Linked DNA regions of Arabidopsis thaliana. The protein of the gene in region 1 interacts with the protein of each later gene in a pairwise test. Each region holds a gene or a part of one and is shown on either strand. Other genes may lie near its edges. The genes, in order: LNO1 and LOS4.

Region 1 (10,208 bases):
GTGCCTATAGTTGACTATTATGTGAATCAAACGAAATACACAGAGATCAACGTAAACATACCTGGATCTTGGGAAGAGGATGACACTGGAGCTGATGATGCTGTAAATAAGGTGGAAGTGGAATCAAGCGGAGTACCAGACAAAGGTGCCGTTACAGCAGGAAAAGTAAATTTATCACCAGGGATACTGCTACTGGAATTGAAACCAAACAACGATTTTGAAGAAAAACTAGATGCTGGTGCACCAGACGACATGGTTGAAAATTGAGCACCAAAACCTTTGCTAGATTCAAAATCAGATCCTGATGATGTGGTAGAAAGCCGCTGCACACTTCCAGCAGCTGTTTCAACAAACGCATTGGCCTTAGCTTCGGAAAATTTGAATTCTCCAGCCTTCTTTTCTGTCTGTTCAAGTACAGTCGAGGCCACTGGTCGTTTCGGAAGAAAACTTGATCCCCCTGGTTGTGAAACTGTCCTTGTATCCTTAATCTGCGATGGGGCAGATTCCTCAGCATAAGAAGTTGTATTGCTAGACTTATTTCCAGACCAATTGAAACTTGGTTTTGACGCAGAGATTGGAGAGATGGTAAAGGGACTGTTAGATTGTGGCATAGGTGGCCTCGTTTTGAATGGGGTTGATTGAGCTTCAGATGTGTCTTGTTGGAATGATTCCATAATACCTGCTCAAAGTGTTACACAATCAAACCAGAGAAGCAATATAGTAGATATAAAAAACAAATGAAACACAAAAACATTCTTCGAGATCAAATTAATGCACTCTGCAGTATATCTTAGCTCACCCTTATTCGAGGAGACTACAGGTGATGCATGATCTTTCACGTGAAGCAGTGATCGATCTTGTGTATTATTCGCAGACCGTAGTCTCTCACTCAAGACAGTCTGTTGGTTCATACCCGTCTTCTGTTGCTCCTGCAGAAGCATCCTTTTGACAGTTGTTTTTGGAGGCTCAAAAGCAGCCCAATTCTGTAAATAGATCACAAAAAGTAGAGCCACACGTCAGGATACACCATAAATAAAGGAGTGCATATAAATTCTTCACAGTTTAATATACTAGAGAATATGTGCATATACCGTGAGGGCTAGTACTGAGTCAAAGATTTCATACAAAAATTACCCTGTCTAGTGATTCTCTTCTCCTCCTAGCAGTTTCAGGGTCAGAATTTTTCATAGCAGATGACTGACGTTGTCTTGACTGTTGATTTATACTTGCGGGGATAGAAGAGAGTAATAGGTTTTTTGCTGAAGATGCATTTTTAGCTTTTACCGCATCTGGTGAGCTGAAAGAAGCATCGTAAGGGATCCCAATTGTCTCGAACAACTCCTGCTTCACATTCTTTTTTACAGGTGAATCGATTTTCAAATATGTCATTTGTTTTGAGAGACACTCAGAGAGTTGCTCAGCAGCAGCCAATTGGGAACTCATTGTGTTATGAAGGCTGTGAAGGGATTGCACACGTCTGCAAAAAGAATCAACCCAATATGAGTTGCAAAAAAAGGGGACGTTTTGACCAACTTATAGTATTTCTTGTGATGGTGTTTTCTTCCTTAAAATTTTCACAACTGATCCAATAGAATACCTTGAAGGAGCAGACCTATTTGGCACGCCTCTTCGTGCCACAGGATGTCCACCATCCTCATTGTAGCGATCGAGTTCAAGCCGATTAAAATATCTCTCTAGTTCAATCAGTTGATGAGTCAAATCCTAGAATGAGAAAAATAGAAGATAAATGACAACAGCGAGCTAAAAGTAGTAACAGATGGATGAGGGAGATATATCAACACGTAAAAAACCTTATTTAGTTTCATTATATGCTGCCGCTTGGCCTCAAGCTCAGGATTCAACTTCTGGCGGTTCCAAAGTTGCCAGTACTGGTTATCAGCAGTTTGCTTATACATACCTTCCATGTATGTCTTTTTTGCCAAAACTGAAATCCCCACATGAAACAATAATAAGAAAACATAATAACAACCTGCTAATTTGCAGCTTAGATTCCAGTGTAAGATATGAAAACGATACTGAATATAATAGGGAAGACCAAAAGAACGAGAACAAACTTTAGTCTAGGGACTTCCAGAGAAACATGTGTAAAAATGCAAGAACCTCATCTAAAGCACACGCTTATGCTGACTATCATACTGGAGCTCACGCTTTATCACCATCATATACAAATATCAGATATGAGACTAATGTGCATGTATCAGGATTCGTTCCCTTCTTCTAAACTTCTCAATTTAGGTTGAGAGTTGAAGTCTGGCGGGTTAATGATGTAATGGGGATGAAAGTTAAACTTGCCTCAATTTCTAGATATCACTGACAGTGCTTAGAAGTAATATAAATTTACAACAATCCTAGTTTGCCTTTTACGGGCCTCGCGGCTTTAGAATACCTTTTCAAGTAAAACACAATTCTACCTACTAACAATGTTTTTGCGCTACATATGGGGATGGTAAAATAAATAGATCACCTTGAATTGTTTTGTCAAGAAGATGTTGGATCTCTGCTTGCTGCTCGTGAATTGTGCTCTGAAGACCACCACACCAAATGAGTTAGCAATTTAGAAGGACCAGAATCACCAACAGTATTTTTTTTATTGGAAGGTGGTTTGGTCAGATATTAAAAGAGGGAATCCAAAAATAATATGAACCAATAACAAAATACGTGAACTTTTACATATTACCTTCCACGTTTGGCACTTGCCAGCAAGACTTTCAAGTCCTTGCTCCAGTTCTTCAACATTGCTTTTCAGTATAAACGCGCAAGAATCCTTGAAACCACCCGGTCCTTCAATGGACTGTAAAAGTGTATCCATTTCTCGGGCCATCTCATTTATCTGGTGCAAAAAAGGAAGAGTCAGTTACGCTAATGGTATCAGTCCAGTAAGTAAAATACTACAGCAAGGCATGATTGTGAAAGCATGAGTGTCGGATGACTCTCTCCTGGAAAAAACATATCCACACGAAAAAATCATTGAGAAACTAATTACTATCATGAATTCATGAGTAAACCTTACATTACTGGGTTGGTTTGACATGTTATGCTCAAGTCTCAGAGGTCCAGTACTGAGCGGAGTTTTGTGCTGCTGATGACTGGCTGATTTTTCGAAGGAAGATTTCACCTGTTGTGACAATTGAGAGGCACGGATAGAAGGTATTGGCTCAATTTTCTCTACCCCTTCATTAGTGTCCTGATTTTGGCCTAGCAGAGGACTTAAATTGCTCAGCGCTGATACTCTACCAGTCTCAATAACTTGTACAGATTTATCTTTGATGCTCATAGGAGGGTTTACATAACCAGTTCCAGACTGTACAGATTGCTTATGCTGAGTATCTCTCATAGAAGGAAAGGGACCAGATACAAAATCTGGAGGTGAGACGCTTTTCCCACTTGACCATGGCTGAGATGACGTATTTTGCGGTGACTGCAAAATTGCGTTCTGCAGGCCAGGAGATCCAAAAAAAGCTGCTGTACTCTTTGACTCCACATTGGCCTGCAAATGCATAGAATTGGACTGCGCAAATATGTCTTTTTGAAGCTTTTCGGAAACAGGGAGAGCAGGACCGAATCCTGCAAATTTGTTGGTGTCATATCCTAAGGACATGGGTAGTTGCCCAAAACTTGTTCCGGACAACCTAGGAATCATGCTTTGTTGAGCATCTTCAACTTGTAACGGTTTTTCAGCATACGGTTCTTGCTTCTTGTTGTTGTCCCCAGACACTGAGCTTTTCACAGACTCGAATTCCTTGCTAAAAATGTTTTCATTTGGCAACCTTTGTTCAGTAGAGAACTTCTCTGTGTTGAGGTGTTTCTGATCATTTTGTACTGCAATATTCAACTGTTGATGTTTTTCAGAAGATTGTTTAGAAAGGTCATCTTCAATCAAAGGGGTATAAGCATCTTCTATATCAGAAGAAGAGGCCAAATCAGTATCAGATGAAGCTGGCCGTCCTGCAACACTGTCGGGGAAAACAAATTAATGTTTTTTAAGTAATGTTGTCAACAGCAATGAGTTAAACCACTGAGAGAAATAAAGCCTACCTAGCAACATTAAACATGACCAGCTTCCCTTCCAAAGTGAGGCACACAAGAACAAAATATGGTTGAAGTTCTTTAAGTTCATCATCTCCGGAACGGACATTAACAGTCCCCTCTATAGAAACCCTATCGATACAGAGTCCCATGACCGTATTGTCATCGTTGTTTTCTGAAAAAACAAATTATCTTCTTTATATTGAACGTGTCATTGTAGGAAAAGTACACATACAATACAGAAACTATGGACTGCATACCTTGGAGCCCAATCCTTGGCAAAAAGGTCTCACGATCAATATCAACAACGGAAACTGCACTTTTATCATCACCAGATGACCAATCCAGTAAAACAATATGCTCATCTATGCTCTTTCTGTTTGCTGTGACCGCCAGTTTGCTGTAGGGTGAGGTGAAAACACAGCAACATTTACCATCTTCACATCGAAAATAGTGGTAGTTTACATAGTCCGTTTATTAATATAAAAAGAGGAAATGTCAGGAACAATTAAACTGACTTTGTTGCATCTCCAAACGAAATGGATAAATATAATATGAGCTCAAATTTAATTCTAGTATATAATGCGGAACACGTATCATAGTTAGTTGTATTTGAAAACCATTCTCGTTAGAACATTCTTGGTAATTTACAGCCCTTCCAAGATAGTTTATGTATGGACAAAAACTTTAAGATTCCATATACAGTGGGAAAGAATGACAAATGGCTAGCAGCGAGCAAGAAAAGTGGAGTATTTATGAAAAGAGAAATCAAAATAAAAAGAATAGAAAGAATAGTAAAATTAGCCTGACGTACCATTGGTCTATGTAGCTAAAGAGTAAATGAGGTCCAACACCGACCGGGACAAGATCATCCATAGAACATGGAAACAAATCGGAGAAGGATAAAGCAACCAGATTGGTTGAACCCTGCAAAGAAGTTCAAAAACTCACAAATCAGATTAAAAAAATATAAGTAAAGTTACAGATCCTATTGTTTTATTCCATCCGAAAAGGGGTTATGCCTAACTATCTACGCCTCAGCAGCAAAATCAATGCAATAGAAATGTTACTCACATCAGAAATCTTCCCATCTGGACTCCTGATAACCTGAACAAGGTAATTTTCTTCCCTGCCTTCAATCAGCTGAAAGCATCCAAGAAGAATACAGTTGTTGCGTACCCATCTGATAGAATCAACTGTTGCAGAGTATTGTTAGTAAACAGTCATTCATTGAGAGGGCTTAACTTGAGAGCCATTTATGACCTTTGTAATGGAAGTGTGATGGGAGATAGCAGGAAACGAGAAATTTCAACAGGATCAGTTTGTATATATCACGACCAAGCCCCAGAATACAGTATGACTCAGTCCATAAGAAAAGATCTCAAATACCTTACAACAACAATGAAATTTGAAACAAAACGGAAAATACTGGTAAGAAAGAAGAAGGCCAAAACCTGCAACATACCTTTCACGAAACAGTCTTCATCGGAATCACCAATCCAAGAGTCAAATGATAGTGCTATGCACCGCTTCTCATTAAATTTTGACGAAAAAATCCGAAGGCTGTTATCTTGAGCTACAGCGATATAACTCCCTTTTGAACTCCATTCAACTGACAAACAAAACAAAGTTTACAAGTAAATTCCTACAGAGTCGATCTTACATAATTGCCAAAAACATGCTTTTTTGCTGAAGAAGTAGCAATAGAGATGAAACAAACCGGCGTCAACAGCATCCATAACATGTCTAGGGGGTGCATTATCAATTCCATGAAAGAGCTTCCCAGTATTCGAAAGAACAAGATAAGAATGCTTATCATTCCTTCTCCACCGAAAATCCTTAACGAAGCCTGACTCATCAGGTGAATAAGAAAAAGAAGGTTTTGCATCCTGCAACAAAGGAACAGATTAAGTAAGTAAACTATCAATCAACAAAGCAATCCAGCTAGTCTGCTACTTCTGAGACGTGTACCTTCTTAAGAAGTGAATCCACAGAGAAGAAATGAATATCAGCAGCAACGGTGACAGCGAGAATCGAATCATCCGCTGAGAGAGACAATATACGAACGTCCCCAACAGGAACATCGACGAGGCTCAAATCCTGGATAAAAACCTTATCACCGTTCCCGTTACTGTTCTTCGATGCAGAAATTACATCATTAGTCCTCCCAACAAAAAACCCTAATATTCCACACAAAACGGTCACAGTAAATAAACAGCACAGAGCAAAAACCTCTACCATCGCCGATTACGAAAACTAACCGGAGGAATGTGCGACAAAGAGGACGGCGTGGCGTTCTGAGATAGCGAGAGGCTGTGACGGAGGGTTTTCGAGATCGTATTGAGCATCATCTTCTTTGATACTGATAGGTTCGCCGATTCTCTCGAAGTAGTAATCGTTCGTTGAGATGCGATCTCCTTCCGTATCTTCTTCAATCTCAACTCTGCTCATCTTTCAAACTCTTCTCAAGGTTGTTTCAATGGCTGAATCCGAAGGATTTTGAGCGGGAAGTAGAGAGGACGAAACTCGAGAGTGAGTCTCTCTGATTACAAGTGCCGGTGATACCACACTGGTCCGATGAGCCGACGACGGTTCATGGTTTGTTAATTTAAATTTATATGGGCCGTAATGTGTTAATGGCCCAATTGGCCCTTATCTGACACACCAGACCGGTTCTTTTAGCTGAACCAGATTCAGCGACCGGTTCTCTTTACTAAACCAGACCGACATGTATTGTGATATATATATAGTAATTTATTTTGAAATTCAGACTATTTACAATATTTCTGCCGCACAAGATGTGATTCGCTTATACCAAAGGTCTCGAAGGAACATAAATATCGTGAGGCTTGATCGTCGTTCTCCTTCTTTCCGATCTCAACTCTTTTTCTTTGTCTTTTTGGTTTTATATTTCTTGTTTAGTTGATCAATCGTGTGATCTTGTTTAGTTGATAAACTAACTCTATCGTATCTCCAAATGAACATGGTAATAAGAAATGAGCTCAAATTGAATTCCAGTAGTTCAAGAGTTAAGAAATAGTAAAAGACATTCAGGGGATTTAGTGGTAAGGGTTTAAGTACAATAGAGAGACGAGTTTTTCGTGAGACCAGCAGATTGAGCTTGATATATAATATAAGGTCAGTTTTAGTCCATCAAACTGAACACGCTCTCTGTGAAAACAGTGTTCTGCAGCCTAATGATGATTCACCTACAAAGGACGATACAAGGATGACAAGATTTGCATTGGATGAGTACCTTCTTCATTGCTGTTTGATGAAGCTTGCCATTAATTATTATCAATACGTACTGTCTTATGTATATCCTAAAAAAGATTCATTGCTAGGGGATATTGTTCTTTGCATCTAGCACAGAATAATAAAGCGCACGTAAAAGGCAGAGAAGAGGATCATCATTGTTTTCATCTAGCTAGTGTATCCAAGTTGAAAATCAAAATATAAAGTCTCAAAATATGAAGCCTTTGAACACACTTAGATAAAGTTCACATCCTCTACAAAGACCGTTAACAAGAGATTATCAGACCGGTTCTCTTAGCTAATCCAACCGTTAAACGCAGACCGGTTCTCCTACATCGGTTTTGTGGGTAAATTATAGCAAACGGTGACGTTTTACCTCTGCTCTACTGGCGTAGTTGTTGGTAGTTCTTGAGTTTGCGTCTCTCGTGGATTTTGGATTAGCTTCACCTTCCACAGTTCCTGCTTTCCTCTGGTCTCCGCATCTCCAGTTAGGCCTGCCTCTTTTTATCTTTTTGTTGATCCTTGTTTTCACCATTTTCAAGGCTTATGTGAGTAAATTTACCAAATTTTATTGTACTCTGGTTTTGGTGTAAGAGTTTGAGAACTTTTGTTGGAATTGTGCTTATATTGATGTCCACATTGATGAAATTGTAGGTATGCTAATGGTGAAACGGATGTAAATTATCAAGTCATGTCTGCAAAGGATCTAGTAGACTCTGTTTTCACTCTAGGAGGTTGGTCTAATTTTCTGGTATGTTCGCGTTGAGTCCGCAAGCAAATATTTTTACACAATGCAATGGTTTCATTCTCATATCTATTTTATTGTCTCCATTGTTTAGTGCTCGGAGAAAAAACTTCAGCAACCTGTTGATGTTGCACTCGTGTTCATTGGCAGAGAGGTAAGAGTTTATGTATCATTATGAGTTGACTATTCAATTTATCTAAATCAACTGGCGTTAAGAGCATCTTTCTTGCTAATATTTAGATGTCATGAACATTGGCTACTGTGATTTCTACTGCTCCTTTACTTAGTACTCTCTTCTGTTTACAGTTATTGTCTTCAGATGTTTCTTCAAATCAGAACTCGGATCCTGTCCTTGTTAACACATTGAAGGTAAGTTTAGTTTTATATTTATAGTGTGAAAATCGTTGATGTGTTACATATTGTAAGGTTTGCTTTCAAATGTGGATTGTTACATAACTTGAAGAAGTGTGTGTATTGTTGTCTTTATCGAAAATGTTTGTAGTACTTGTAAAGTTGTAATAATTGAGAACGTTGAAGAAAGACCCAGAGTTTTACCAGTATTAACTCTTCCGAGGTTTAAACTCTTTTTTCACCTTCTCCCATCATGTTATTTACTTTGACCATTACTGTTTTTTGCTGGTCATTAAATCATGCAGGCACAGATACATACACCAATATGCATATTAGGATGAACCCCACGAGAAATGTATTTAATGTTGCAGAGTCTTAATAGTGAAGACCCATATGTCTTGCAAGTTGCGACCCATTAATAATGGGCCATTATCAACACTGTTCCTCACCAACAACAATCCCAGGCAGTGAGACAAATAACAACACTAAGGAGTTATTACAATATGGTATGTACAAATGCCTCAAATTAGTTTCTTACTTCCCACGCTTGTTAGTATTAATCAAATGTGTTCTAGAGTTTCTTTAAAAGTTTTGTTCTAGTTGTTCAAATGGAGGGACCAAACTTGTAAAAGTGTTTTGCATGCATTGTTATATTTTCTAGTTGCATCAAAGTCTAAAACGTTTTAGTTCCACAAAATTCAGATTCAAAAGACATTCAAATTATGATTTGAGTTTGATAAAACAAACAACAATACATGAAAGTTTCTTCTAGTTCTGTTTTTTTTTTTGCTTTCCGATTCAAGTGTTCTTGATTTATCGAGTTTTTAAGGTTAAAACTGACTGATAAGATTGTGGTGAATGTTTCCAGCCCAACGAGTAATATCAGAGTCATATGTTATTGGTGCAGTGTTGATGCATGCATCGAATAAGAAAGATACGACGGAAATTCTCACTATGGAAAGCATACATGCTCTAAAATTTTGGAGTAAGAATATCTTGACCAGTGAGATTCTGGTGATGATGAATTCTCATGTGTCGAATTCTGAGGAAGAATCTGCGAAAGGTCTTTCCGGGTGAGACTATGTTGGCAAGATATTCACGTGCCGAATTTTTGATTGGTTTTCCAAGTAATCGACAAATCACAGAAAAATTTATAGAGACAACTCCCAGAATGACTGACATGTTAATTTTAAACAAATCAACAAAAGTAACCTTGAAAGAAAAACAACAGAAACAGAAAATATATTTTTTCAGTGTCAACTTGTGGAATATATAGCCTTCATGCACACAGCACACCCATTTCATTTTCTTCTGATAGAATTTTAAAAATATTTTCGAAACAAACATCTAATAGTTTTAACTTCCATAACCAGTCAGAACCCTTTTTTTTGCAAGAGCTGCTGAATTTAAATTCAAAGTCTGTTAGGGAAGAAACCTTTCTAATTTTCTTCTTGTATATGAAAATTCACCTTGGTACTTGGTTGGATATATATATTACCAAAAACATGTAATTGTTTCAATTGTTTAACTGAGATCCTTAATTTCTTGGATAAAATGTTACGAAATGTACTTTCCGAATATTTATGTATATATATGGAAAGTGACACTATTCAATGTTCAACTATCCATGCGAAATAAAAATTATTTGACATTACTAGTCACATAGATGTTTGGGTCAAACCTATATTGGGAAAAAATAACAAATCTTCTGTTCATCCATTGGTCTATGTTGGCGTATTTCTCCAAAACATGATAATATTGATTTAACATTATCTTTTCTTCTTTATGAAGATTTTTCTTTTTATCTTTT
Region 2 (10,910 bases), on another chromosome or scaffold:
TTTTTTTGTCTTGCTTTAATTTGAATTGTTTGTCTTGCAAATAAGGAGGGAATAAATCTTGTTGTCTTTTGCAGATCAGGGGTACAATTTTTGTTCACTAGCAGTTGGTACATCTGAAGATAGTAAAACATGGGCCTGTCAAACACGAAGGATGGTTTCTCTCTGCTCTTTCCTTCTCACGGAGTGTAATTATTCGCAGGAAAGGATAAAAGATGTTATTGGTGTCAATGCCCTTCTATTACGTATTCTTATTGTTTTAACTGATCCCAAAAGCTGGAAGATTATTACAAATGAAAACTTTGAAGATGCAGAAACAGCTAAAAAGATAATTATTCAGTTTATAGGGAGCTGTAAAAGTGGATATTACTCAGCAGTTCGGAGATATATCAAGACATTAACCAAACATACAGACGAGAGACTAGTGATTACTACAAGTGCAGTAACTTTGGCTCTACGACCATTCCACGTGAAACAGCCTGCTTTTGTTGATGACAACCAACCGGACACGAATTTGGCTGTTGAAGAATATGTTTCTCTAATACTGACGATTCCTCGGCTTGTTTGCTACCTGCCAAGCGCTCTCATACGTGCACTGAAGCACAAGAGCATACTAATGCCAAGCTTTCACACCATATTGGTAAAACTCATATCATATTTTCTTAGACCAATTAATTTCTTCTTAAAGTCTCAAATAGGATGTAGAGAGAATTGGCTGACTAGTTTTAAATCTCTGTTACTTTTTTCGACGAACTAGTTACTTATTTTTTTCAAAAAATCGAAGTGCTTATTAAAGTGTGGCAGGTGACACCAGCTTTTGAAGGACAAAATCTTGAACATAATATCGGAAATGGAGAATTCAGAGAAGCAAAGTTGTACCATGGAGATACCTTCTGTTGGATGGGTTATCGGGAACATCATATCCCTCGCAACAGTTAGTGAAACCGATTTTATGGATCCACAAGAATCAAATCCAGAGATGTTTTATGTCTTGTATGTTCATGTTATTGTGACTCTCGCCGAGAATCTATTGTCTCAGGTTGAAAGTGTTGGAATTCAGGATATTCATCTTGATATTGAGGCCACATCGAATGAGACAGAGAAAGGAAATTCAGTTAAGATTTCTTTTGTGGAAATGCTTCGACCAGTATGTCAACAGTGGCATCTCGCAAAACTGTTGGCAGCTTCTGGGAAAGAAATTCGTGTTATAGCAGATAAAGATGCATCAACGAGTAGTAAGAAAGGATCAGAAACACTAGGACTGCTTGATATAGCACGATTATATTCATGCATGTTGAGAATCTTCTGCGTGATGAATCCTGTTCTAGGACCTTTGCCTGTCCTTAACATGTTATCCTTCTGTCCTGGATACATTGTCTCTTTGTGGAATTCTCTAGAGAGTGTCCTACTCCCTGAAAATGGTTGCACTGCTGACGATGCATCTCATGGATCTGCTAAAACTTCATGGAATACAAGAAGTCCTTCTGAGAAGAAATTGAAACATCTCAAGAATGACAGTGTCAACAAGTGGGTGAATGTGCTAAACAAGTTTTCTGGTAAATCACCGGGACCACGTGAACATGTGGAGTGTACTAGTGATCAACCAGGATCAGGCCAGGTTAATGAGTCAACTAATGATGTATGGGATGTGGAAACTCTGAGGGGTGGTCCTGTAGGTATCTCCAAAGAAGTGTCATGCCTGCTTCATCTATTTTGTGCAACCTATGCACATTTACTCGTTGTTCTTGATGACATACAGTTTTATGAAAAGCAGGTAAATATGCTATATGGTTTCCTGCAGCTTATATGTCATTAGTCTGATATTTACTAAAGGTTTGTTATGTCATATAGGTCCCCTTTATGCTAGAGAAGCAACAGAGAATTGCATCAATGCTTAATACACTCGTGTACTATGGATTGTTGCGAGGCACAGGTCCTGAGAGTAGACAACTGATGGATTCTGCTATCAGATGTTTGCATTTATTGTATGAAAGAGATTGCAGGCACCCTTTTTGTGCTTCTGCCCTGTGGCTCTCACCTGGTAGAACTAGTAGACCTCCAATTGCATTTGCTGCCAGGACTCATGAGGTTTTACCAACCAGTGATGTTCTTACAACTCCAAGCATGGGTTCTGTTATAACAATTACTCCGCATGTCTTTCCATTTGAGGAGAGGTAATCTTACGTTGATTACCCTTCATAGCCTTTCCATGTCTTTTATCTTTGTGCTACAATAACTTCTAACTAACTTTATCTGTTGAATGATGTTCATGTTGTGCTATCCCTGCAGGGTCCATGTGTTTAGAGAGTTTATAAGCAAGGATAAAGCTTCAAGGAAAATGGCTGGTGAAGTGGATGCACCTGGTGCGAGGTCAATAGAGATAGTTGTTCGTCGAGGTCATGTGGTTGAAGATGGATTTCAACAACTGAATTCAATTGGTAGCAGGCTAAAATCATCCATCCATGTCTCGTTTGTGAATGAATCTGGCCTTCCTGAGGCTGGCCTAGACTATGGTGGGCTTTCAAAAGAGTTTTTGACTGACATAACAAAAGCAGCTTTTGCTACTGAGTAAGCTCTTCTGTATGTATGCATACTTTATTCTAGTCTTTGTTGTTACTTGTTCCAGTGGATTAAGTTTTATTTATTTATTGGTATGTCCATTATTTTTCTTTTCCAAAAGGTATGGGTTATTCTCGCAAACCCCTACTTCAGATAGGTTGCTTGTTCCTAGCCCATCTGCACGGCACCTTGAGAATGGGATTCAGATGATTGAGTTTCTTGGAAGAATTGTTGGAAAAGCTCTATATGAGGGAATACTGCTGGATTACTCTTTTTCACACGTTTTCATCCAGAAGCTTTTGGGGCGTTATAGCTTTATTGATGAACTATCAGGGCTTGATCCAGAGCTCTACAGGAACCTCATGTATGTCAAGGTAAAAACCGTTGCAGGTGATATATCTGTCGCCTCATATGTCAAAATTCAATCTTGTAATAAGTATCACAGGAAAGGGTTTCTGAGATCAAGACTTTGTTTATATGCAGCATTATGATGGTGATTTGAAGGAACTCTGTCTGGATTTCACAGTCACTGAAGAGTTTTGTGGAAAAATGAGCATAATTGAACTCAAACCCGGTGGGAAGGATACTTCAGTCACGAATGAGAACAAAATGCAATATATTCATGCAATGGCTGACTATAAACTTAACCGGCAGGTATCGTCTTTTTAACGTTTTATAAATAATCTTAAGGTCAATCATCCTGCAAAACAAAAGTTACTTCATAATTAATGAGGTAAACATGTTGTCCTATGTCTTGTCTCCAATGCAGATTGTGCCCTTTTCAAATGCATTTTACAGAGGATTGACTGACCTTATATCTCCTGCTTGGTTGAAACTATTTAATGCCCATGAATTTAATCAGGTGTGCGGCTCTAATGTAATGATTTCTAGATTTTTTTCTTTTGTACAAAGCTATTGTCTCACAAAGATTCCTTTACAGTTACTCTCAGGAGGAAACCATGATATTGATGTTGATGACTTAAGGAGGAATACAAAATACACTGGTGGTTACAGTGATAGCAGTCGAACAATCAAAATCTTCTGGGAGGTAATAACTCTTAATCAGAAGTCCTGATCTCTACGTTTTCTTTCTATTCTGTTTGCCAATTTATGACATATGCTGAGAGTTTGAGTGCGGCTTGTATAATTTCTCTCTGGGCATCCTGTCTCAGGTCATGAAAGGCTTTGAACCGAGTGAACGTTGCTTGCTCCTCAAATTTGTGACTAGTTGTTCTCGGGCACCACTCCTTGGTTTCAAATACTTGCAGCCAACCTTCATCATCCATAAAGTTTGTTTTTGAACTTAAGCTTAGAAATGTATGTTTGATATTCTGTTTGGTAATTTTGTTTTCTTACTTTTGTGCTTTTTCATCTTCTGCAGGTCTCTTGTGATACCTCTCTTTGGGCTGCTATTGGAGGACAAGATGTAGAAAGACTTCCATCTGCTTCTACGTGCTACAATACTCTTAAGGTGAAGTTTCAATAGTCCAATTATCTTTGTAGTCTACATGTGAATATTCCTATATCTTTTTTGTTCAGTCTTTCTTTTTGGATTTCTTCAGCTTCCAACGTATAAACGAGCAAGCACTATGAGGGAAAAACTATTGTATGCGATTACTTCAAATGCAGGATTTGAACTCTCGTAGAGACCTCTAACCAGGTATTCATCTTGTTATGCACCTAGACCTTTTATCCTTTATTCTATTCAATGTATATGGCTTCTGTCAAGTTAAACTAGTAAGGCTGGTGTAAACAGTGTGTTTGGTTTATCTTAAGATTATGGGAACTTGTTTCTTCTTGGTAGTTGTATATGAATATATGATAATCAACTAAGCTGAAAAAATCTTCTTAAGCTTTACCAAAATTCTTGCTGTAATCAACCTTAGAAATGTTAAAGAGGTAGATTCGGAACAAAAATAAAATACCAAAGATTGTGATCTTCTCAAACAAATCTTGGACCTATAGACCCATCAGGCCATCACACAGTGACACAGACCAGATTGGTAGTTTCTACATTCAGTCACACACACGCACACACAATCTGTCTCTTATTTGTGAGTTACATATATAGAGAGAGAAAGAGAAAGAGAGAAGAGAGAGAGATAGAGAGAGAGAGACAAACTTTGGTAGCTATTTGTAGGTATACAGTTTGAATTCAATCCAACTGGAATGAAGCTCAATTCAATTGATTAGAGAAATCCCTTGACCCAGTAGTTGACCAGCCAACAGCTCGTTTACAGCCTCTGTGGGATGAAATCCATCCCAAAACACATATCCTGTGGCATTTACACACGTTCCGAAGGATAGAGAATTGCAAAGGAACGATGTTTCTATTGTCCCTGTTCCGCAGCATGCCCTTTTTGTTTCAAAGAATCCTAGAATACATGTAGTTTAGACATTTAATAAGATGTTAATGGTATCTTGTTAGTTGCTAACTAGATTAAATATCTGAGTTCTTCTTCCTGTGAATAGCTCACTCTATCATGGTCTAAAGTTGAATGAGGATTTAGATTTTGCAGGTGTGTACCATTGTCAGTTGGGTTGGTGATGATGTCCAGGAAAGGTTGGTAGACATTAAAGGCGACGAGTCTGAGGCCTGAGTGTCTATTCATCAGTAACCGGGTTGTGTTCTCAAGTTTAGTATTGAACATGATAGCATCATTGTTCAGTCTCTCAACACAACTTTTGTTTCCTGCACCGAAAAGAGTGATAGCTGCAGGCAGGCAACCCATCGGCGGTAGCGATATCACTCCGATTCTCCTTGCTCCTAGTTCATACAGATTCTGTTACAAGTGACAGTATGATTCTTGTTCACACAAAAAAGGGTAAATAACTGATACGATTTTTTTGTGTTTCTTGTAAATTTGCACATTCATATGGTTGCCTTATTATGAATATCGAGTTCTACAAGTTCGTTACTAAACTTAGAAGTACCTGGATGAATTCTGAGAAGGATCTCAGGAGAATGTCAGCGAACTGATCAGGTGTATTTAGGATGTTGAGTAGAGGATTGATGTAATAATTCTGAAGAAAGTCGCTAGATCCCGCACTCAAAATGTGGATACCTCTAGAGAACAGTATGCGCGCGTTCCCCCTCCCGATCATTCTCGTTACTCTATTTTGATACGCCCTGTAATAGCTCAGCTGTCGTGTTAAGGAGATCGAGCCCTGCAAAAGGAAGAGTAAAACCTTATGGATCATTTCTTGGGTATGTGTGTAATGATGTTTGACTGTGTTGTCTCCTTTACAAATGGAACAGATGTGGCATCATAGTATCCTGAAGAAGCTGATGCAAAGTTGGCACCGATCAGGATATTCTCGTTGCTTGCTTCCCGGCTTAGGAATGCAGGTGGGTATGAAGAGAAACCAAGGTACTCGGCTAGACACAAGTAGGCAGATTAAAAAACCAATTAGATTAGGAAGAGAGAAAAAGTATTTGAAGGTAATACTTGATGGAGAGATAGATATATGTGGTTTTGTGAGAAAGACTTTACCTGAGAAATCTACAGCGAGTTTTCCGTTGCAGAATCTTCCGGTGGGTCTTTGGTCGATGAAGTCTCTACCGTAAGGAAGAAAGTTGGATTTGACAATGCTGAGTAAGTTATTGTTGTTGCCAACGTCAACAATGGAGTCGCCAAACATGATGAGTGCAGGAACAACAGCTCCTTTGGATTTGCAGAAGAAACAAGAAACCAAGAGAAGAACTCTAAACCCCGAAACTCTCATCTTTTGCATTCCTTTTCGTTCCTGTCTAATGCAATCAGGTCGTTAGGACAAATAGAGAAGAGAGAGAAGCAGAGAGAAAGAAATAGAGAGTAGTGGTGAGAAAATGGAGACTTAAGAAGATGATGCATGTTATACAAAATATAATCATTCTCCCCATGCTTATGTTTAAGATAAAGAAAACGCATTTGCTAGTGCAATAGAGTAGGTGGAAATTGTTTATGAGGTCAGTCTCTTTGGTCATTGATCATGGGACCATGATCAGTAATATCTTTGCATCCTCGAACATAAACTTCCGTCATATCGCGAAATTTCAATTCGGGCCACGCGTGGAGGCTTTGGTTTGAAGGGTAGCTCTATCAATAAAAATATGGGTATTGGGGAAATCATCTAATCTTGATTGATTGATTGCTCAATACTTCAATAATCTAATTTTGGTTTCTGTTGAACCGTTGGAGGCATGAATATAAAATTCTGATAGGATACAGTTTTCTTGATAAGAGATGATATGTTTGAGGAAATCAAAGTGTGAGCTCCACCAACTTTTAGTTGTTGTTCTTGTAATAATGTATTGGGTAATGTGGCATCCACCTCAAAGATTGTGGTTAAACCATCATGGTTTTTTCTTTTCCTTTCTTCTTTCTTCTATTGTGCTTAAGCCATCATGGTTTATTTCCTTTCTTGTACATAGAAAAGTCATAAGCTTTTTAAAAAAACTTATGAAGAATATTACAAGGAAAAAACAAGAGTTTGGGCCATATCACCACCATGGAAGTAAAAATCTCTACTTGGTACAAGACCCAAATTAGTAGAAAATGGCTTCTTTTGTAACAAATTTGGACTGTTGGGCCATATTGTTTTGTTTATACATAAATTAAAGCCCAAAATGATTTAGTTGGGTCGTCTAGAATAAACCGAACTATTAAAAAATCATTGGTAGAGTCGGTTATGTTATTTCAATTGTGGCTAGCATGAAATTAAGTTCAATTATTTTACATTTTTACTATTAAGCTTCATATTCTTACGTCGAACCGAATTGAAATTAGAGAAAACAGAAAGATAAACCGAATTATAAACAAAAACAACATAGACTAGAGTCGGTTTAATCACGTGTAGCTTATAAATTAACATCAGTAAATTTCCATTTTTACTAGCAGCTTGAAATTAACGTCAGTGATTTTTACAATCCTTGACTAGTAGCTTCAAAGTAAAGCAGCAACTCTTATTTATTTGGGGTTTTCACTTTTTCCCCAAAATTGTCTCCGACTTCAAACATAACACAAATCGTTCATCGTCTTCCTTCTCTCTCTCTGATTCTCTCATTCGCGAATTTCAAAGGTTCTACTTCTCTCAGAATCTCAGCTCTTTCACGAATCAATGGAGAAGTTAAGATGAATTTGGGTTTCTAATTTGATTGGTTTTTTGTTGGCTACAGCTATGGCGGATACGGTAGAGAAAGTTCCCACCGTTGTTGAGTCATCTTCATCATCCACCGTTGAAGCATCTAATAGCGCCGAGAAGACTGAGCCCACGACGGAGAAGAAAAAGTGGGGCGATGTTGAAGATGATGATGATGAAGAAGAAGCTGTATCGGAGCTTAATTCATTGAGCATTAAGGAAGAAGAGAAACCTGATTCTATTCTTGAGGAACCTGAAGATTCTAACATCAAAGCTGTATTACTTCAATTCCCTCTCTCTCTTTGATCCTAATTACAGTCTAGGGTTATTAGATTTTCCAGATTCGTTTGGTTGATTTTGAAATCTGGTGTTTTTTGAAGGTTACTTCTGGTGACACACCATATACATCAGCAAGTAGATTTGAAGACTTGAACTTGTCACCTGAATTGATGAAAGGCTTGTACGTTGAGATGAAATTCGAAAAGCCTAGCAAGATCCAAGCTATTAGTTTGCCTATGATAATGACGCCGCCACACAAGCATCTGATTGCCCAGGCTCATAACGGATCTGGAAAGACGACTTGTTTCGTTCTTGGAATGTTGAGTCGTGTTGATCCCACATTGAGAGAGCCTCAAGCTCTCTGTATTTGTCCCACTAGAGAATTAGCTAATCAGGTTTGTTTAGTTACTCTGATTTTGGTTATGATCTGAGAGTAATCTGATTGTTGACTTCTTTTAATGGTTGAATGACAGAATATGGAAGTTCTTCAGAAGATGGGGAAGTTTACTGGGATCACTGCTGAGTTGGCTGTGCCTGACTCAACGAGAGGTGCACCGGCGGCAACAAGAGGAGCTCCTGTTTCTGCTCATGTTGTGATTGGCACCCCTGGAACGCTTAAGAAATGGATGGCATTTAAGAGACTAGGTCTAAATCATTTGAAGATTCTGGTTTTTGATGAGGCTGACCATATGCTTGCTACGGTATGCTCTTTCTTCTGTTTTACTTGGTCTTGTTATTTTCTCAACTGTAATGATTTAACTTCTGTATAATGTGATTATATTTTCCCTTCATATGTTGTTGATAATTGTTAATTCATTGCTGTTGCAGGATGGGTTTAGGGATGATTCCTTGAAGATAATGAAAGACATTGGGAGAGTTAATCCCAATTTCCAGGTCTGTTTAACTAGTGTCTGATTTGGTCATGCTTCTTGAATTATAAGTAGGATGACAGTTGATATCTAGTGGCATATCTATCGTGATATCTAGGGGGCACAAGATAGTCTACTGAGCTTATAGTTATACTTGTTTCAATGTTCAGAAGCTCTTAGTAAATAGAAGCACCTCAGCTGTGTTTTTTTCTGTTGTTTAGAGCCGTCATATCTTAAGATGACATATATGTCTGTGCTAAAATGATTATGAATATCTTCACTGCAGAAAGCTGTACTAATGACTGCTTGTGTTTCACTATATTTATGGCTGTTAATCTCAATTCAAAGGAAACTCTTTTTCTTTCTTTCTCGTGCTAGATTTGATTGTGTGCTTGTGTTCTTGACCTATTTTCAACAGGTTCTTCTTTTCTCGGCAACTTTTAACGAAACTGTCAAAGATTTTGTTGCGCGGACAGTCAAAGATCCCAACCAATTGTTTGTCAAAAGAGAGGATCTGGCTTTGGACTCGGTGAAGCAGTATAAAGTTGTTTGCCCGAAGGAGCAAAACAAGATCGAAGTCATCAAGGATCAGATTATGGAGCTTGGGGATATTGGGCAAACCATTATCTTTGTGAAAACAAAAGCGTCTGCTCAAAAGGTGCACAAAGCCCTTGCGGAAATGGGATATGACGTTACCAGTGTCCATGGTAATCTGACTGAATCGGACAGGGATAAGATAGTTAAAGAGTTTAAAGAATGCCTTACTCAAGTGCTCATTGCTACCGATGTCATTGCAAGAGGTTTTGACCAACAGCGGGTAAATATTGTCCTTTGAGCCTTTTCCTTTCTTCTCGTTTTACCTCAAAGATGCTTCGTAGTTAATACCTCTTGTTGGTTATATACAATACTTGCAGGTGAATTTGGTTGTCAATTATAATCTTCCCACTAAATATGAAACTGGAGAGCCAGATTATGAGGTGTACCTTCACAGGGTTGGGAGAGCTGGCCGGTTTGGTCGCAAAGGTGAGTTTTGATTCTTCTTTTTTTCTTTCTCAAGTGTTTCCATAAGTTCTTATCAGTTTCTGAACTATGTATTTGTATTGTAGGAGCGGTTTTCAACTTGCTGCTTGATGATGGCTGGGATAAAGAGGTGATGGAGAAGATCGAGAAGTATTTTGAAGCAAATGTTAAGGAGGTATTATAAGATTTCTGAAAACTGCTATATATCTTTCAAGTGTTTGTTAAAACAGTATCCAACGATTTTAAACTTTGCTGCAGATCAAGTCGTGGAACTCAGAGGAAGAGTATAAGAGTGCATTAAAGGAAGCTGGCCTGCTGGACGAGTGAGGAAGAGAGACAGCATGTGTTCAAACCATCTTAAAAGACTATGTCGTCTGTTTTCTTGAGATTGTTTTAAGAAAGAAACTTGTATACCTCTTTGAGGTTTTCTTGTAATCTTTTTATCTGATTGCTGAGAGTTTCAGACTTTGTAGATTTTTTGTTAAGGGAAAAGGAAAACATTTTTTATGTCAATGTCAATCACTTTAGTATGAACCTAAACAGTAAACAGCAAAGCATTTTTTTTACAACAATGGGTAAGAGTCATAATACACAACCAAAGTCTCGAATTCAATGTGTAAAGCTTTTTAATCTCAAATGTTTGACGTTTTAGCGGCAAGATGGATCAATGCTCGTCGATGATAGGTAGTACGAAGCTTCTTGTATTTCTGCACAAATGCTGCTGTATCAATCTCCTTCTCTAGGAACTTTTCTTGCAGGGCTTCGGATTCTTCATCCACCTGATTCATAGCCTCTGCAAAACAAGTAAAAGGTGTTTAGAACAGTAGAGAAAATGAGACGAGGGGAGAATCCATTGCAATGGTAAATTGTTACCTTGAAGTTTATGAAGAAGAGAACCAGGGGAGTAGAATTTGAGGATCTCTTCTTTTTGCCTCTCAAGCTCATTAAGCTTTTCTTGCGCAGTTGCGAGCTCAGTTGTACGGATAATTCTGCACTGTAAAATAAGTAAAGACTGGTAAATCAGAGATATCGAAAAGGTATAACATGGTAAAACTGAACAAGAAA

Evidence for each region.
Region 2: the proteins of LNO1 (region 1) and LOS4 interact in a two-hybrid assay, tested with the Arabidopsis thaliana proteins (one study listed by BioGRID).

The regions. Positions count from the first base shown.
Region 1 is NC_003070.9:20,736,552-20,746,759, forward strand, and holds the start of LNO1 (Nuclear pore complex protein), read right to left. Parts: upstream 6,624-10,208; 5' UTR 6,499-6,623; coding exon 6,309-6,498; intron 6,228-6,308; coding exon 6,019-6,227; intron 5,937-6,018; coding exon 5,768-5,936; intron 5,660-5,767; coding exon 5,513-5,659; intron 5,244-5,512; coding exon 5,122-5,243; intron 4,975-5,121; coding exon 4,862-4,974; intron 4,448-4,861; coding exon 4,308-4,447; intron 4,223-4,307; coding exon 4,057-4,222; intron 3,975-4,056; coding exon 3,032-3,974; intron 2,852-3,031; coding exon 2,699-2,851; intron 2,544-2,698; coding exon 2,486-2,543; intron 1,946-2,485; coding exon 1,812-1,945; intron 1,723-1,811; coding exon 1,598-1,722; intron 1,478-1,597; coding exon 1,126-1,477; intron 984-1,125; coding exon 800-983; intron 680-799; coding exon 62-679; intron 1-61. Other genes in the region: AT1G55546 (2-C-methyl-D-erythritol 4-phosphate cytidylyltransferase), read left to right, coding at 7,277-7,351, 7,698-7,789, 7,957-8,053, 8,142-8,201, 8,354-8,416, 8,550-8,558.
Region 2 is NC_003074.8:19,680,252-19,691,161, forward strand, and holds LOS4 (P-loop containing nucleoside triphosphate hydrolases superfamily protein), read left to right. Parts: upstream 1-7,488; 5' UTR 7,489-7,617; intron 7,618-7,714; 5' UTR 7,715-7,716; coding exon 7,717-7,953; intron 7,954-8,057; coding exon 8,058-8,351; intron 8,352-8,429; coding exon 8,430-8,657; intron 8,658-8,784; coding exon 8,785-8,850; intron 8,851-9,243; coding exon 9,244-9,642; intron 9,643-9,739; coding exon 9,740-9,848; intron 9,849-9,931; coding exon 9,932-10,020; intron 10,021-10,103; coding exon 10,104-10,172; 3' UTR 10,173-10,410; downstream 10,411-10,910. Other genes in the region: UPL7 (ubiquitin-protein ligase 7), read left to right, coding at 75-637, 812-1,771, 1,849-2,171, 2,287-2,565, 2,678-2,930, 3,040-3,210, 3,326-3,418, 3,497-3,604 and 3 more; AT3G53100 (GDSL-like Lipase/Acylhydrolase superfamily protein), read right to left, coding at 4,738-4,931, 5,084-5,339, 5,491-5,724, 5,805-5,935, 6,051-6,291; VPS37-1 (Modifier of rudimentary (Mod(r)) protein), read right to left, coding at 10,478-10,638, 10,719-10,839. UniProt on the Arabidopsis thaliana protein: ATP-dependent RNA helicase essential for mRNA export from the nucleus. Plays an important role in the positive regulation of CBF/DREB transcription factors.